Xenopus tropicalis: one gene and its partner. The protein of the gene in region 1 purifies or fractionates together with the protein of each later gene. This does not show direct contact. Links are inferred from orthologs where the notes say so. Each region holds a gene or a part of one and is shown on either strand. Other genes may lie near its edges.

Region 1 (2,983 bases):
CTAAGGCAAAATTAAACCCTAGCAACCAGACAACTGCTGATATTCCAAACTGGAGAGCTGCTGAACAAGTAATTAAAAAAAACACAAATAATCATGAAGACCAACTGCAAATTGTCGTAGTATATTACTCCCTACATCAGGAGTCCCCAACCTTTCTTACTCGTGAGCCACAATCAAATGTAAAAAGACTTGGGGAGCAACACAAGCACCATAAAAGTTCATGGAGGAGCCAAATAAGGGCTGTGATTGGCTATTAGGGGCCTCTATGCACCCTATCAGCTTACAGGGGGCTTTATTTGGTAGGAAATCTTGTTTTTATTCAACCAAAACTTGCCCCCAAGTCAGGAATTCAAAAATAACTCCCTGGTTTGGGGGCACTGAGAGCAACACCCAAGGGGTTGGGGAGCAACATGTTGCCCCTGAGCCACTGGTTGGGGATCACTGCACTACATCATACTAAAATATAAGTCAAAATGGGGGGGGTCCTACAGAGGCCAAAAGAAGCGACGCCACAGTGAGAATTAAATCTTTTATTAGTGTATTCACATATTCGGCAAATGCAACACGCACAAAGCTTATGTCTTTAGTTCACAAGTTCTACCAATACACAAGCCTACTGGTAAAACTAGTTCACAAACGGTAAATGCTTTTGCCAATTACGTTTTTTTTGTTTTGCAATGGTTTGGCCTACTGCTTACCTTTCCGACACACAGTTGTGGAACTGCCTCTATGTTCTAAACGATACAGCATACAATTAAAGAGATGCCCGCTCTCCGAGATTTCGCTGAATGACGAGACATCCTAACACTGGCCGCTTTTGGTTTTTTGTTTTATTGGTTTATTGAGGTTTGTTCAGAAAGCCAAGGAGCAGTCACTAGCTGTACTCACAAAGTACACTACTAGTGTAAAAAGGGGGATAGCTGTGGGGGTAAGAGGGGGAGAGAGAAGGCAAATACTGCCCCAACGAGAAAGATCTGACAGACAGCAAGAGAACAAAATGGTTAGTAAGATGTACATATTAAAGCCAGAGTACCCTTTCTAAACCGCCTCTGCCCAACCCTTTCCCTATCCTCAGACATCCATAGAATAGAATTCTAAATATTGTATAGGGTCCAAATGTAGTGTCCAAGGGTTTACAATAACATGCACTTAAAAAAAAAACAATTAAAAATAAAAAAATAACCCCTCCTCTGCTGGTTACACTTCCAAGCCCAAAGGCTCCGGTGCTTGGCTTGCCAACTGGTACAAACCGTGATCGACCCAATACCATGAACGACTGCTGGGTCCGGGGGGGGGGGGGGTGAATAAAAATACGTTCGGCTACTCGATCACCGGTTGGTTTACCAGAGAACGCCAATTCGGGGGTGATATGTTCGCGGCTGCTTTGGAAAATACGCAAGGGGAGAGGAGCGACAGCAGATTCATTAGAACAACTTATAAAAATAGCAAGTAGTCAAAAAAGGAAAAAAAAAAATACAAATATAAGAGGGCAATAATAATAATAATAATAATGGCAAAACGCAATGTGTTTTGATTGTGACAGGAGTAAAATGAGGGGAAGCAGGCACGCTATCTGCTGCAACTAAAAGGCATAACTGCACAGTAACTGGAGAACAATATACAGGACATGTACATAGGGACTACTTGTGTTTATTGTTTATCCCGACACTCAACTCTTTGCCCAATAATACACTGTTAAATGTCCTTTTTTTTTTAAAAGAGTCCCGTCCCTGGTAAGGAGTCATTTATACACTAATATTTCAGCTACTTTAAGAGTATCAGAAACATAATCCGACAAGGTGCTTTACGTTGATGGGACCTCAAGTGCTGTTTTCGCTTTTTGTTTTTGTTTTTTTGTTTTTTTTTCTTTTGGATTGTAAACAGTTCATGGGGACCACACACAAATACTATGACAGACAAGCTGTATTGAGTCTGTTGCTGGGACTTCGGTTGCCACCCGCAGGTAATACATAAAAGAAGCGCCCATTAGGACATGCTTGAGCAGCGCACTGAAGGGGATCCCATCTGTGTCAACACTTTGTCCAACCACTGCAAAGGTCCGTTCAGGTGAAGCTCGATCCAACATGGAGTGCTTGTAACGGTCTGCCGCCTACAGACAGACAGAGAGGAGGGTTAAGCACGAGCACACAAGGCAGAAAACATTAGCAATGAGGCATGGTAATGCTTGATTATGTGCCACTGTGACAGAATGCTCTGTTATACAGATAGCTAGAATCTCAGCCATAAAGCAGGGCAGGACTGCTGCTTACAATGGGGGGGATCAGATAGGATCTGTGCCACTGTGACAGAATGCTCTGTTATACAGATAGCTAGAATCTCAGCCATAAAGCAGGGCAGGACTGCTGCTTACAATGGGGGGATCAGATAGGATCTGTGCCACTGTGACAGAATGCTCTGTTATACAGATAGCTAGAATCTCCGCCATAAAGCAGGGCAGGACTGCTGCTTACAATGGGGGGATCAGATAGGATCTGTGCCACTGTGACAGAATGCTCTGTTATACAGATAGCTAGAATCTCAGCCATAAAGCAGGGCAGGACTGCTGCTTACAATTGGGGGATCAGATAGGATTGGGTCAGCAGCTGTAAGTAGGTCTCTGCTCTGCATTTTCTCATATAGTGTATCAATATGCATCCAAAAATACACTTGATAAATGAAGAGTTACCTGTATTCAGCACCCCAGCCTTTTACAAAGCTCATTCTTATGGTGCACATTCGAGTTAACTGATAAACTGCTTCGAAGCCTTGATTCACAGACTGAGCGAGGAGAGCAGCAAACTCTTGGTTATTAAAAATCTTCAGATTGCATCCTGTGAGACAGAATGTAGAATTGCCACAATTACTCCGATTTCAAAATATTCCAACCAAAGGGGGTCAGAAGTACACCTTCCTGTGAACATGAGGGGTATTGAACTGCCCCCTGCGCATTTTGATATAGAATAAAAATGTACTCTCTTTTTCC
Region 2 (3,524 bases), on another chromosome or scaffold:
TTGTTTTTATTGTGCGTGTTCAATTTTTCTAACATATAAAATAGTTTATACCTTTATACCTTTAAAACTTTAACATTATTGCACCCCCTCCCTATGGTCATTGAGATTACTATAAATTAATACAAGTTTTATTGTAATTAAGGCACTGATAAATAAGCATAAAAAAGCTAAGGCTGATGGACCATGGGGAGATTAGTTAGATCAGTTAAATCTCAGCTACTGCAGGCGACTAATCTTCCTAAAATGCCTTCCCACCAAATATAAAGTGAATCGCCGGCGAGAAGGCATACATATCGCTTTGTTTTCTGAGGTCGCTTAAAGTTTCCTCTTGCAGGAAATTTTACTTTATTGCCTGTGGAAAGGTATTTCAGGGAAATTAGTCACCCACGGTAGCCGAGATTAACCGCAGGCAACTAATCTCCCCATGAGCCATTGCCCTACCAGCAAGTAAACTTTCAGTCAAAAGATTAGAATCCTATACCAGGTCTATGCTATTTGTTCATTACAAAGAGCAATTTCTTTGTTTCAGTTCTAGCTGTTGTTAAGTGTAGGCTGTGTGACTCCTCTTCACCTGTCCAGGGCTCTATGCTCAGTCATTTAGTGTGGCATAAGACAGCCAGAATAGCAAGAATAGATAAGAACTTGATAGAGGGAAGTACTTGCCTTGAAATATTGTGTATAGAGTGTAAGCCCTTGGCCTTGCCACTTTAATAAATATGGCAACACCCCGCAAGCAACAATCCACAATTAGGTCACATGAAATAATAATTTGGTCTTTTACTCAGGCAGCCAGTTCAAACCACTTCAGATTTTCTGTTGCAGTCTTTCAGTTTCACAAAGCCGACAAACGATGCACATCCACAAATCATAGAGATTGCATGCAACACAACAGCAATAGATACCCATTACTATTGCATTAAGAAGAGTGTACCTTGTATAGTTCTCCTTATATCCAGCAATATCATCATTTGGTGACCTTAGTCTTCGCTGGGAGGGAGTTTCCAAATGCCAGTAGTTGATGCGATTCAGGAACATTTTAGCCAGCTCTATGATAGTCTGTCTTTCTTTGGAAGGCAAATGGCTGAACTTGTACTGTACAAAATTATTTACACCCTTTAAAGAAAGTAAATACAGAGATGCACAGTGAATATAGTCTTCATGTTTTCAGACTACCTAGAAAGAAGATAACACAGATTTTGTTTTCTTGACCCCTGCCTGAAAAAAACGTGAGCAGTGTAGAAAGTAATTTGCTCTGTAATACAGACTCTGTTACTTGCTGCTGATCAGCTCAGTTCTGCTTGGCTACAATTAAGGCTGCCATCCAGATACTGATGCCCCAGTAAAGGTGGCCATACACTGTAAGATCTACAGGTGGGCGATATCGGGGTAATTCAATTAATTAAAACGGCAGGCATAGGCGACGTTGGTTCGGGAAGCGCATCAACTAGCCAATTCGGTCCCCAAATTGGTCTAAAGGACTGATATCAGCACCTAAAATCGGCCCATGTATGGCCACCTTTAGGCTTTAATAAGCCAATACTGAAAACTGGTCATTACTGTACATTGTTAAATTATTGTGCATGGCATGTGGTAGCTTCATAGTGTGGTGCAGAATGCAGAGAATGGGTTCTCAGTCAGCACACTTAGGTTAAATTGACTATAAAGAAAATAAATGAATGAGAGATGGTAGTTATATTTGCCCTTTAAACACTTTAGTGACCTAGAACTAGGAATTCTTCCCACTATCATTCTAGAAGAATAAGGTTATAATGACATAAAAAGCATTGTCAGAAAATTTTGGATTTTTTCTTCTAAAGCAACACACATTATTATATCTACTAAAAGAGAATAATGTAGGATTTTGCAGATTTGCCATTGGTTATGTGTTTATATCGCAAAAGGTCCAAAAACACGAATATGTAATGTAAGGACAAGAGTGTTCCCAATGTAGTCACTGCTCACTAAAGGGGTTGTCCACCTTTAAATTAACTTTTGTATGATGTAGACATGATATTATAAGATAATTTGCACTTGTTTTTTAATTTTGTTTCCTTTTGGTTTATCAGTTATTTGGAATTTAGCAGCTGTTTTCTAGGGTCCTGTTTACCATAGCAACCAGACAATTTGAATGAGAGACTGAAATATGTTTTGGAGAGGGACTGAATAGAAAATTACGTAATAAAAAGTAACAAAAATAATAAAATTGTAAGTTCACAGAACAACAGTTTTTTGGCTGTCGGGGTCAGTGACCCACCCCCCCCCCCCCCCCCCCATTGAAAGCTGGAAAGATAGAGAACAAAATGGCAAATAATTCAAAATCTATAACAAAAAAATAATAATAAAGACCAAAGTTGCTATGAAAAGGACATTTTATAACTAAAAAATAATATCAGTGATATACATCCCTCTACAGCCCAAGATTTCCAAAAGTTGCCTTGTTAAGAAAACACCACTTTCTAAGGAATAAACAATTAGACACTGATTAACAGCCTGGAACTTTGATAAGTACAAAAAGAAATACAAATATACATACATTAAAAAACTAAGGTAGGTAGGAAAAGATGTCAGATCCCCATTACCTGCTCAATACTAGGCTTCTCAAATGGAGGGGAACCCAATGATCCTTCCACTGCAGGTTTCACCATTTGCAGGATACACTTCCTCAAAAGCTGAATAGAAGAAGTATGTACATGCTTTATTCTTAGTTGGTAAGATACATTTCAGCAATAGAATAAAATGTAACTCTAAACCCACACATGACTATAAAATAATGCTCTCTTCAGCTATAATTTCATTCCCTGTTTTTACTTCCAAACAAGTTGGCAACTGTTTTGTATTGAGCTGTAGTATTTAACAACAGTTGTGGTTTAGAAAAAACTACCCATGGTGCACTGAGCTGAACTTATTCTGACATACCCTAACATGAGAGCCAGCATTACCCACAATTTCCTTATAGTCGGGCCATGCCTCCCAACTGTCCCGATTTTCAAAAGACAGTCCCAATTTTGACAGCTTAGCCCGCAGTCCCAGATTCTTTCTAAAAAGTCCCTCAAGCTAAAAAAGATACAATCTTTCTCAAACTTAATTAAAAAAGTAGCTTTTGGCAGAAAGCCCAGAAAAGTTAAGAAGCTACACATGCACTTAGATACAATTGTAACTAATAAGCTAAACAGGTTTTTTGTTTTTTTTTGCAAAACACAACAAGACCCCCAAACCCCCAGAAATGTGTTCAAACTTTAAATAACCTGCTATATTTTGTAAAATGGGAGTGGTATTTTAGGAGGTGTGGTTGCAAAAATGGGCGTGGTCAAAAATGTTGTCCCTCTTTGCATTTTTCAAATGTAGGGAGGTATGTACCCGCAAACAAAAGAGGAAAAGTGGGTGGCTAAAATTAGTACAAAATTATTTGTGTGCACCACAATATGGTGTATGTCCTGAACAGAAAATTTGCCTTTTAGTAGTCCCATAATACAGGGTTAGACATCTGTGTCCAACATACCTGCTTGTCTAATGTAAGTAATAAA

The links.
Region 2: the proteins of smad2 (region 1) and kat2b purify together in Homo sapiens (affinity purification with western blotting, with the first as the bait; 3 studies listed by BioGRID). This does not show direct contact. The link is inferred for Xenopus tropicalis from reciprocal best matches to the Homo sapiens genes SMAD2 and KAT2B.

What each region holds. Positions count from the first base shown.
Region 1 is NC_030677.2:206,124,080-206,127,062, reverse strand, and holds the end of smad2 (mothers against decapentaplegic homolog 2), read right to left. Parts: intron 2,832-2,983; coding exon 2,687-2,831; intron 2,111-2,686; coding exon 1,987-2,110; 3' UTR 516-1,986; downstream 1-515. UniProt on the Homo sapiens protein: Receptor-regulated SMAD (R-SMAD) that is an intracellular signal transducer and transcriptional modulator activated by TGF-beta (transforming growth factor) and activin type 1 receptor kinases.
Region 2 is NC_030682.2:45,629,702-45,633,225, reverse strand, and holds part of kat2b (histone acetyltransferase KAT2B), read right to left. Parts: intron 2,670-3,524; coding exon 2,580-2,669; intron 1,114-2,579; coding exon 932-1,113; intron 1-931. UniProt on the Homo sapiens protein: Functions as a histone acetyltransferase (HAT) to promote transcriptional activation. Has significant histone acetyltransferase activity with core histones (H3 and H4), and also with nucleosome core particles.